3 linked regions of the Sus scrofa genome follow. The protein of the gene in region 3 purifies or fractionates together with the protein of the main gene of each other region. This does not show direct contact. Links are inferred from orthologs where the notes say so. Each region holds a gene or a part of one and is shown on either strand. Other genes may lie near its edges. The genes, in order: DYRK1B, DYRK1A and LZTS2.

The links.
Region 1: the proteins of LZTS2 (region 3) and DYRK1B purify together in Homo sapiens (affinity purification with mass spectrometry; 3 studies listed by BioGRID and IntAct, counting the BioPlex papers as one, with this or other methods). This does not show direct contact. The link is inferred for Sus scrofa from reciprocal best matches to the Homo sapiens genes LZTS2 and DYRK1B.
Region 2: the proteins of LZTS2 (region 3) and DYRK1A purify together in Homo sapiens (affinity purification with mass spectrometry; 8 studies listed by BioGRID and IntAct, counting the BioPlex papers as one, with this or other methods). This does not show direct contact. The link is inferred for Sus scrofa from reciprocal best matches to the Homo sapiens genes LZTS2 and DYRK1A.

Annotation. Positions count from the first base shown.
Region 1 is NC_010448.4:48,305,308-48,308,546, forward strand, and holds the end of DYRK1B (dual specificity tyrosine-phosphorylation-regulated kinase 1B), read right to left. Parts: intron 2,834-3,239; coding exon 2,687-2,833; intron 2,607-2,686; coding exon 2,466-2,606; intron 2,165-2,465; coding exon 1,849-2,164; intron 1,477-1,848; coding exon 1,370-1,476; intron 1,275-1,369; coding exon 903-1,274; 3' UTR 530-902; downstream 1-529.
Region 2 is NC_010455.5:201,137,499-201,141,143, forward strand, and holds part of DYRK1A (dual specificity tyrosine-phosphorylation-regulated kinase 1A), read left to right. Parts: intron 1-1,457; coding exon 1,458-1,744; intron 1,745-3,645. UniProt on the Homo sapiens protein: Dual-specificity kinase which possesses both serine/threonine and tyrosine kinase activities. Exhibits a substrate preference for proline at position P+1 and arginine at position P-3.
Region 3 is NC_010456.5:112,076,727-112,081,119, reverse strand, and holds the start of LZTS2 (leucine zipper putative tumor suppressor 2), read right to left. Parts: upstream 2,910-4,393; 5' UTR 2,470-2,909; intron 1,293-2,469; exon of another isoform or gene 150-1,292; intron 1-149. UniProt on the Homo sapiens protein: Negative regulator of katanin-mediated microtubule severing and release from the centrosome. Required for central spindle formation and the completion of cytokinesis.

The sequences.
Region 1 (3,239 bases), on a different chromosome or scaffold from region 3:
TTTTCCAAATTATCATGGAAACAGGCCCACTTACCTGGAACCCCGGTAATTATCCCTTGGCCTGAGAACTCTCAAAACGTTTTGCTCCGTAATGATTCCAAAGGCCGGACGTGGGGGGGGGGGGCGTAAACTGCCTGTCAATCCCCAGGTGGCTCCAATCAGGCCGACCACAAGCACTCATCACCCACTAGACACCTGGCAAAAGCAGCCACGCCTGTGCCGACTCTGTGGAAGCCCTGGCTTTCTAGGGCAGAACCTGATGTTTCCCAGAGACAGGCCAGAGCTGGGCCTTTATCCTTCTTAGTTTACCCTAGATAAGGCAATGTGGGCTAGGATGCTTTCCAGGGTCTCTGTCTAGGATTCCACAGCCCCAGACCGCCTACAGCCCCAGGTCTGGCATCAGCACTGCTAACGTCCCCAGGGGACGCGTTCCACATGAGAAAGCTCTTCCAGCACCCCTTCCCCAAACACGTTCCCCATCACACCGCTGAGGGCTGGGTGAGGGGAGCCAAGGCCTTGCAAACGCTCAGGCGGGGCATGTGAGAAAGCTCTTTACTGGGGGGTACAGCGAGGAGGAGCAAGGCCATCTCCCCCTACCTGCCCCCACCCCCTCCTAGGGCCCTGGGGTGAGGGGACTCTCCCCCTCCCGCTGGACCACCACTGTCTTTGGTACAATAAATAGAAAACACAGGGGGAGAGGGGGCCAAGGGTCCAGTCCTTAGTGGGGAGGGTGCACCTGAACCCTTCTCCTTGACCCCCTGCCCCAGGCCCCAATCAGTGCAGGCCTCACCCACCCCGGCTGGGTAGCAGCAATTCCAGTCAAGGGGAAAGATGAGGATGGGAGCCCAGGGCCCCCAGATGGGGGGTATGGCTTCAGGAGGGGCCCCAGGGAGGGGGCAGGGTCATGAGCTGGCTGCCGTGCTCTGGGGTACACCACGGAGGCCCAAGCGAGGCCCCAGAGTGGCAGGGTCATCAGGGGGTGGGAGGGGTGGACGACCTCCTGTCATCCGAGTCCGGAGGGCTGAGGCAGCCGGGTGCTGGGGGGCAGGTGCCGGGTGAGGCGGGGAGCAGTCCGGAGGGCCTCCCACCAGGCTCACATCCATTAGCTCTGGGGGTGGTGGCGAGGTTGGTGATGGGGGACGACCAAGGCATCGGGGTTGGGGGGGTAACTGGGCCCCAGCCCCTGGCAGTGATGAGGCGGAGGCAGGGGCCTGATGTGTCTTGTGGGGCATATCACCCCCTGCCCAGGGGCGCAGCGGCTGGGAGGGTGGGACCTAAAGGAGCAAAGGAACAGTGGGTGATGGAGACCTAGGTCCTGAAGCCCCAGATACTCCACCACCCACCTCCAGAGTCCCCAAGGCCCCATTACCTGGGGGCTGTTCATCTCACAGTCAGTGATGGGGGGCCCAGGGCCCCCACAATATCGGTTGCTATAGCGGTAGGTCCGGTTGTCACTGGAGGAGCCACTGGAGCCTCCTGGAAGTGCCAGGGAAGGAGAGGAGAGGGCTTAGGCGAGGAGACGGGGCGGCTGGGTCTTCAGGTGGCAGAGTCTGGTTCACAGCCCAGGCTCAGGTCTAAGACTTTGGGGCGGTACCCACTGGGAGGATCAGGCCCAATTTTGAGACCAGGGGTCAGAGTTCAGTTTAGGGCATCAAAGAGTCAGAACTGAGCTCAGTTTGAGAGACCAGGTCAGGGCCAGTCTGAGCTCGCCTGCCCACCCCTTCTGGAGTTTCAGGGTCATGCAGTTTCAAAGCTCTAGGTGAAGGCTCAGTGGCAGGGCTGCCCAGATCAGCCCAAACCAGAGGTGCCCCCACCCCTGTTTTACCCCATCTGGCACTGAGCACCCACCAGAGCTGGAGATGGAGCTGGCGGTGCTGGAGGAGGGGCAGGTGTCAAGGGGCGCGGGCGACGTGGAGGCACTGCTGCCTGCCGGGCCCGTGTTGGTGGCCTCATCAGCCGTGCGGCGGAAGAAGCCATGCTGCAGAGCCCCCAGTGGGCTGATGCGGGCGGCGGGCTCATACTCCAGCATGCGCAGCACCAGGTCCTGGAAGCGGAGGTAGTCGGCGGGGCTGTGGCCCGGCTCCCCCGCCCGCCGGCCCCCGGGCCCGCCCGTCTGCACGCCCAGCACCTCCTGCAGCCGCCGTGTCCCGGGGCCCTGGTAATCCTGGCAGGGGGAGGTGGGAGGGGGGGCAAGAGAGTGGCCGTCAGTGGGCAGGAGGGGCAGGGAGACACACATGGGGAGACAGAGGCACAAGAGAGAAAGTAGAAAGAGAGAAGCTAAGAAGAGCTGTGGGGTGGGTAGGAGGAGAGATGGGGTGGGCGGGGGAGGAAGGAAAAGACAGGGCAGAGGAAGGAAGGGAAAGACACAAGGGAGAGGCAGCAGGGAGAGAGGGGGAGGGCGCCCCAAGTGTGAGAGAGTGAGGGGCCGCCGGGGTGGGAGGAGCGGCGTGGGGCAGGGGCCGCACCTTCCTGAGTTCCTTTGTCCTTCGCAGGGTCCAGCCACCCCCAGGCAGCCGCTCAAAGTACTTTCGAGCCTTGGGTGCCTGGTCCAGCATGGGGGCTGGTGGGATGCCCAGCACCTCCACAATGCGGTTCATCTGGTCCACCTGGGAGCAGGCGGGCAGTCAGGGTCATCAGCCAGCCAGGCCTCCACCCCCTCCAGCACACCCCCTCCTCGGGAGCACACCTCATTGGAGCCACTGAAGAGGGGCTCTCCGGTGTGCATCTCCACCAGGATGCAGCCCAGGGACCACATGTCAATGGCCAGGTCATAGGGTGTGCCCAGGAGCACCTCAGGCGAACGGTAGAAACGGCTCTGGATGTACTGGTAGATCTGGGGGAGGGGAAAGGGCAACAGTCAGAGGTCCCAGCCTTCCCTGTGGGTACCCCCGACACCCCCAAACCTAGGAGGACTGACTGTGCACAAGCCTCCTGCCTCCAGAACTGGGGATGGGGGTCTTCAAACCCTGATGTTTTCAGCACAACCTCCCAAGGATTGCTGCCACTACCTCACTCATCAGTTTCAGGAGTCTCTGCTGGCCTAGTCTGATCCCGATCTCCATCCCCTGGCCTGACCCTGAGCCCCTATGGGTCACCAGGATCCGGCAATCCGCAGACCTAGCCTCTTCCCACCCTTCCAATCCAGACCCTTTCAAACCACTACCAGCGTCTTCTCAAAGGCCTTCTCACCGGAAGCTGCAAAGCTGACGAGCCCTGTCCTCTTCCCTCCCCAGCTTTAA
Region 2 (3,645 bases), on a different chromosome or scaffold from region 3:
GAACCCAGAGGATTGTTCTTCCTTTGGAAGAACATTCGCATCATAGTTTCTTAGAGGGATTTTCATAATCCCATTTGAATTCCGACATCAGTTACCTTTTGCATTCCTTTCGTGGCTGCTTCTTAATCAGATCACACTCTTACACGGACCATGTCTCTAGGGTGTCTTATGTCACAGTGGGTCTCTGTTTTTAGTTTAAACTGATGAACTCTGATTAAGAGCATCTAGCATCCATTCTTAGGTAACTGCCGCGGAGAGTTGAGTTGTGCTGTGGACTCCTGTGGAGCCCTGCGGTGGTTGTGTAGTGCTCCTCCTCCTGACTTTAGATCACGGAAGTGACCTAAAAGCAGCAATACCGACATTAATTGTTCAGGGCTGCTCCCAGGACAGCACAGTGTATCCCATTCTCAGAGACCAGATGTTGAATACTGTCTTAGTTATTCCAGATAGATCTGTAGAGAAACCTCTGTTTTACCGGATCCTAAAAGACCAAAATGAAGGTCACCTTGACAAATGGTTGTTTTATATCATTCTAGTTGAGTTACAGGTGCTCAGTTTGGTATATATAAGAATTTTTATACTATAAAGCAGTGCTTTCCTTTATTGAATGACTTCATCTGATGTGAAATTGGTATTAACACTTAAAGCACAACAGTTTGAAGCATTTATTGACTATTTAGCCTTTTTAGAGAGTCAATACTGATACCAAGTGATGTATTCTATCCTCTTTCCCCATTTATAAGCCTACTCATAATTTCTTGTGATTGAGCTTTAGTTTGAAGTTTCCACAAAGGTTCAGTCTTAGACAAGATGTCCCAGGTACCAGTTTGATGAACATAATCAGATGCTTTGACTACGACCTCTCAAAGACCATACACCTTGATTTTCAAACTTTTGCTTGCCTAAAAGGAAAAAAAAAAATCTGTCTTCCTTTGACAGTTGTTGTGGGAAATTACTGGTAAAATCTAAGCTCAGCAAAGCAGATTTATAGATGTCAAAGCCTCCCAGAGAGGGCGGCCAAGTATCTCGCTGTCGCAGGCTGGACATCCCAGTGGGTGGAGCAAAGTGCTGAGGCGGGTGCTCAGAAAGTGAAAAGTGTTTTCTTTTACAAATGAGGATAAAATTAGCAAAGTATTTCCAGTACTGTTCGTCAGTTTGCTGCTTGTATTTTCACACCTGACTTAATTTTTTTTTAATAAGGCACTTTGTTGGTACTACTTACATTATATTGCTTATTGGCGGACACTGTACACTATATGAATTCAGCAGATGAGCAGTTTAGAGGTTCTTAACTGATTAAAGAACGTGCTGTTTACTGCAGAATGCTGATCTCCAAATTTTAGTTTGATTTTCACTCTGCATTTGACGTCGTGTATAGATTGTTAGAGAGTTCATGCATGTGTTATTCTCATCTTACTGCTATGTATAATTAAAAATGAAACTTTTTTCTCTTTCAGTGCATTTAAAACGCCACTTTATGTTTCGAAACCATCTCTGTTTAGTTTTTGAAATGCTGTCCTACAACCTCTATGACTTGTTGAGGAACACCAATTTTCGAGGTGTCTCTTTGAACCTAACACGAAAGTTTGCACAGCAGATGTGCACTGCACTGCTTTTCCTTGCGACTCCAGAACTTAGTATCATTCACTGTGACCTAAAACCTGAGAACATCCTTCTTTGTAACCCCAAACGCAGTGCAATCAAGATTGTTGACTTTGGCAGTTCTTGTCAATTGGGGCAGAGGGTAAGTATATTTATTTCTGGACTTGTGAATTCAAATAGAATTGAGTAAAACGGTGTAGATAGTTAAAATGTTATTAATCTGTACACAATTTGGAGGTAATTACAAGATGGTTTATGGTTCAAATGTAGCACTTGACTCACCTTGTGTTTTACCTATTTGGCGAAAATACCTTTTAAAATGCAAATAATAATACTTTGAATTAGAATGTATTGGTTTTTCAAAGTTTATTTTAAAAAATTATCTGTATGCAAAAGGCAAAGAAAATAGGGGATGAATGTATTAAATATTAGGTGATTTATTAAAAATTTAGTTCCTGGGAGTTCCCATCATGGCTCAGTGGTTAACGAATCTGACTCGGAACCATGAGGTTGCAGGTTTGATCCCTGACCTGGCTCAGTGGGTTAAGGATCCGGCATTGCTGTGAGCTATGGTGTAGGTTGCAGATGCGGATCTGGCGTTGCTGTGGCTATGGTGTAGACTGGTGGCTACAGCTCCGATTCGACCCCTAGCCTGGGAACCTCCATATGCTGCAGGTGCGGCCCTAGAAAAGACAAAAAGACCCCCCCCCCCCCAAAAAAAAAAAGATTTAGTTCCCAAATAGAAGTTTTAGTGTAAGTTTGGGGAAATTCCAGTAATAGAAATATCGAATCCTTGCTGTAAAATATTTCACCAAATATAGCTCAAGATAAGTGTTTTTCCTCAAAAAGCTGATGGGTTAGAGTTCCTGCTGTGGTGCAGTGGGTTAAGGGGTCTGGTGTTGCCACAGCTATGGTGTAGGTCATAGCTGCAGCTGGGACTTGATCCCTAGCGCAGGAACTTCCATATGCCATGGATGCAGCACCACCACCCCCAACAAAAAGCTGATGGGTTAAAAGAAAAAAAAAGGGAGGTAATTTTGCATTACACATGGCAATGTAGTTAGAAATTACTCAGTTAGTAGACATAGTTGTTTTGATAAATAAGTTTAAATTTTTTTTCCTTTTATAAATTTTTAGACGTATCCAGACTGATTTTCCTCAGAATGCTGAAAACAGACATGTCCATAGCAATAAATAGATTTAGGTTAGATGATTTAGGAAAGATTTTTCCTGCTATTCTTTTGAGCATTATGAAAGCTACTCTAACAGTATTTTGTATATAAAATAGAATTTACAGATTCTCTTCTTGAAACTAACTAGGGTCACCATTTGATAACACTTCATTCACTTTTTAATTACTATTCCTATTTAACTAAGTATTGAAACTACATTTCTTTAAAAAAAAGTAAAAATATAACTAACATTCAGGTATCACTGTTTCATAATGGTTTTCCATTTCTTAATTTTCCAAATTAATGAGATTTCCTGTTCTGTCCAACTTTTTTCCAGCTTTTAAATACAGTAGGTTTATGGCCAGTTAACAGGATTGTCCTTTTATTACTTTCTGCAAATTATCTTATGAAAGCAGTACTATAGATCATTGAAATAATTTTTTTAAATAGATGGATTAGGAAGCAAGGTTTGCTGTTTCAGATGCCTCTCAAAATCGAGAGATACTCATAGTCACTGTGGGATAAAGTCTATTGTAAATGGAAAATACGTGCCCATCTTGAGAGTAATTGCAAAAGATTTTAGACTTGCATAGTTTTTTCCCTCTTTAAACCAAATCATATCTTCTGTCCTAATGTCAAACACTGCTGTGTCTCTCCAGCCAAACCAAGACAACTATGCCTTTAGCTCAGTGAGTTTTTACCTCTGTGAGTGTGTCAGAATCCCATGGGAATTTGTTTCTAAACTAGGCCAGCACTGGCCCTACTTTAGGTCTGCTGGCTCAGTCTTAGAAGGTGACAGGGCAAGTATGTTTCAGAAAAAGTTCCTCAGGGGATCCTGGTGCATAACTTTGTAGACAAACCAACCACCGCT
Region 3 (4,393 bases):
GCAGGCACCCCGCGTCACGCGTGTCCGGCGGGCAACACGCAGGAGCTGCGCGGCGGGACTCAGGCTCCCTCCTTCCGAGGGCCAGTGTCTGGGGTCTCGGTCGGCTCAGGATTAGGCGGCGGCGGCGGCAGGTCACCCTCTACCCCTACCCGGGCCCCGGGGCCAGCGGCAGCTGGTCATTGTTCGAGCACAAAGGGCCAGGCGCCGAGGCGGCCGCCCTTCCCCCTTCTCTTGTCTCGTCGATGCCTCTTCCCCCAGACACACTCTCCAGCTTCGGAGTCCAGAGGGGGCGGCGGAGGGTCAGTTGCCCCCGATTCGGGGCCCTGCGCCCCAGCACAAGTCGGGGGCCAAGGCTTGGTGGGTGTCTGCCCCACCCGCAGCCGGTTGGAGGAGGCACGCTTGGATTTGTGGAGGTGGCGCCACCTGGCGGCCCATTCGGAGAACACACTCGGTCACCGCCAACCTTGGGGGACCTTACCCTAGAAAGCCTAGGCCTTTCCCCAGCGCGGCTCAGTGCTCCCCAGCCTTCCCTCAGAGTCATTTCCTAAGAGAGAGGCCACTGATCCGAGAGAAGCAGCCCCTGGGCCCAACAGTCACTGAGGTGAGCCCATCCAAGCCTACAGGCCAAACCTACACAGCCGCGTAGCACACAACATCCCACTGTCTTCTCAGGGTCACGGATATTCTCAGCTCGGCAAACAAAACAGTCTTAACACCCACACGACCTTTCCCACAGTCTCACACAGCCACAATCATACAGTCTTTTTCATCACGAGGTTCCATGTCTCTTCTTCCCATAATCTTTCAGGCCAACACACAGAGACATTCGTTTCACATGCCTAGTTGTACACAGGCTTTCACAGCTCGAAGTCCTTCGCACCCAGTCACAATCTTAAATACACTTAGTCTCCTAAGCATTTTTCACACACTGACAGTCTTATTCACAGTCAAAAAACGTCTTCTTACATGTACACAACGTATTTCACAAACATTTTATCACACAGACTTTCCCGTAGGGTCTCTGTGACCCAGTCAGGTCAGCTGATGCCCACACGGCTGTACAAGGACAGCCTCCAGGCCCCTAACTCCGCCCCATCCAGGGCCAAGGCCTGCCACAGCTCCTCTACCCCAGGAAGGAGCATCTCCCCCCCTTCCAGGCCACAGCCCTGGCAGGCTCTCAGCTCTATTTTTAGCTCTATGGAAAGGATTGTTTTTCTTTCTTTTTCCCTGGAAAGGGAAACAGCTCAGCCACCCGCAGGCTCACCCTAGACCCTCTGCTCACAAGAACAGACTGAGTCCCACTCCGGTAGAGACCCCCCCCCCCTCTTCTGGCCTTGCCCTGATCCCAGCCTCCTGGGGCACTAGGAGCCGCCTCCCCTTTCTGGCAGCCAGCCCAGAAGCTCAGGCAGCAGCTGGGCTCAGCGTGCGTGTAGGGGTGGGGGGTGGGGTGAGGAAGGAGGCCGAGGGCCGATGCCCACTTTCATGCCCTGGGGGGAGGGGGCTGTCTTCCCTTCTACGGGAGGGAGACAGGCCCTCTCTGGTGTTGAGATGTGCACGCTCCTGCATTCTCTGGGGAAGGGGGACTCCCACTCTTGCATGCGTGGGCTTTCTGTTCCTACATTGCAAGGAGGAGCTCCTAGCTCTGCAGGGAGGGGTGGTAGTAGGAAGGGCACCCACAGGCGCTGCCGTAGCTGCTCCCTTGGCTGCTATACGCTGCCATCCAGAATATCGCCCCCACGCCCCCAATATCTTCAGGGATGGGGCACCATGTTGGGGAGAAGGAAGGGCGAAGAGCCCAGGTAACCCCAGGCCAGACCAACAGCCTCCTGTTCTCCTTCGCTAACCCGACTCCAGGGGGCGTTGTGTTCTCCTTCCGGGGGAGGTGGAGAATGGACTACAGCCCGGCCAGGTACCTTGCAAGCCCGTCCTGCACCGGGGCGGGCGGTTCCCGCCCTGAGGCCCGGGTGGGGGGAGCACAGCCCACAGGTCTGCGCTACGATCACGTGCTCGGCTCCTGTTTACGTCTTAGTCTTCACCTGCGGGCTGCCGGAAAGCAGGAACCTCTGGAGTTGTCCCACCCGGCCCGCCCCCGTCGGCGGTCCCTGGGTCTTTCCTCCCACCCCTGTCAAGTACGCGGCAGCAGCGCGCCTTGCCCGCTGGGGGTCCCGCGGGCCAGTGGCGTTGTTCCAGGGACGGCAGGCACAGCTCACTGGGCGCGTCCTCTTTAGGGTGCACGTGTGTTCGTCTGTCTCAGGTGCGCGCGTGGGTCTGTGTGTACGCGTGTTTGGACCCGTGAGTGTGAGGTTCCGTGTAGGTTCCCTGTTCACACTCTTCGCTTGTGCCTCCTGCACTGGGGACTCCCCTCCTCACTCCAACCCCCAACCTTCCAAGACCGGTAAAGTTCGCTCCGGCGCGGGGCTGTGCAGGAGCTAGAGTTCCGACACCTCCGCGGCCCCACCACGCACTCACCTAGGGCCACCTGCGCCGCCGCTCCAGCTCCCCTCCCGGCTCCTGCTCCAGCGCCAGCACCTCCTCGCCGCAGATCGGCCGGCTCCCAAGCCCGCTCCGGGCTGCGGACTCCCAGCGCCCGTCCGGCCGGGCCTGGAGGAGCGGGGCGGGGCGGCTGAGGCCGCGCCCCCGACCCCGACAGGGGAGTGGTCTGCGCAGCACCCCCTCAACAACCGACCCAGTGCCCAGCCCAGATGTGGCTCGATGGTGGCCCAGGACTGCTCCTCTGGCCTCTGACTTCACACCTTACAGCATTTGTCTTTCAGCTCGGGGAAGGGGCCAGTGGCACGTGACAGCTAAGCTGGCTGGCTGTCCTAACCAAGTCGGCTGTAGGGCTTTACAGCCACCTTCCTCAGCGCTTTAGGGAGCCCATCCTGGTCCATGCTCAGCCCAGTCCCCAGATGGGGAAAACCCCTGGGAAGCAGACAAAGAAGGCTCGGGTTTCACCAAAACAGACCCCGCCTTCCTCACACACACACACCTCGGCGTTGGGGCTGCCCTTGAGGACCAGCACCTCCCCCTCCCCGAGTAGGTGTCGGCCCAGGTGAGCCGGCCTGCCGGTTTGGGCCCCCACAGAGTATGGCCACGCTTCTCCTAGACTCGTAAAAGTTCCACCCACAGGCACAAACAGGAAGTTGACCTGTACTGCAGGGAGGAACCAAGGGCTCCCTCCCTCCATGGCACCCAAAGTGGCCTTTGTGAGGGCAGACTGTGCTGTCTACAGGTATCTGGGCTGTATTTGCAGCCTGAGCCCTGGGTAGCCGGAGTCTTGTGAGTTTAGTCCCTTCTCAAATGCAAGATGGAGAACCAAAGCTGCCCCCACACAGCTAAGTGTGACAATGAGTCTGAAGACAGCAGACAGCGCTGCAGATCCAGGGACCCTGTTCTGTCAGGCTCTTCCTCAGCTCTCAGGAAGGTTCTAAATGTCCAACTGGGCACATGGAATGCTGGTTCTAGCCCAGGTGATTTGCCTCAATCCACTTTGGCTGAGTACAGGGACAGGGAGTCCCAGGGACCTTACCCAGGAACTAGGGATTACCTGCCACTTTCTAGGCTGCAGTTACTCCGGAACATACTTCTGGCTAATTCTGATGCTAGGAGCTTAAGACAGGTGTGGAATGGAATGTGCTTGTGTACGGGGTGGGGCTGGGGGAGAATTAGCTTCCCCTCCCCCGAGCTGGTTTGTGCAGTGTGGTGGTGTCTGCTAGGAGGGTGGGGCAAGCCGGGCAAGTGTGTATCTATTCCTCTATAGCCAGTTCACACAGACACCTCGCAAAAGTTCCCTAATGGAAACTCCTAAAGTATTTCCTGAGAACACACCAGGCATTCTAGGGAGACCAGACCAACACCTTTCTAGGTAGCATTGATCTGGTGGGGTGCATCTGGAAGGCATGGCTGATGTTCAGTGTTGTAGCCCCTGGATGAGGCCTAGACCAGCCAGCGGCTGGGAATGATTACTGTGGGATTAGGAGAGCTGGCTCCAGCCAGTCTGGGAGAGACCCCCAAGAAGGGAGGCCCTGGAGGATCTCCCCCCTCCCCCCCAGGGAATGGCTTTGCTCCAGGGTCTGTTTCAGAAGACAACTGCAGTCACAGTTCTCACACACCACAGACCAGAGACCCCAGACCATCCATCCCACAGGGGTCCAGAGCCTCCTCTCAGGTTACAGGGAGACCTTGATAAGGCAGCCCTGCTTCCAGGGAGCAGGAAACCTCCCCCAACCCCCTCTACAAAAGGTTTCTCCCCAGCCCCTTTAAAACAGCTTGCATTCTCACCACTTCTGCAGGCAAATCTAAAAGGAAACGGGCACTTCGGGATATCAGAGGAAATGAAATGGAAAAGTGTCATTATTTAGGAATATTTGTCAGGGTCTCTGGATAAATTATC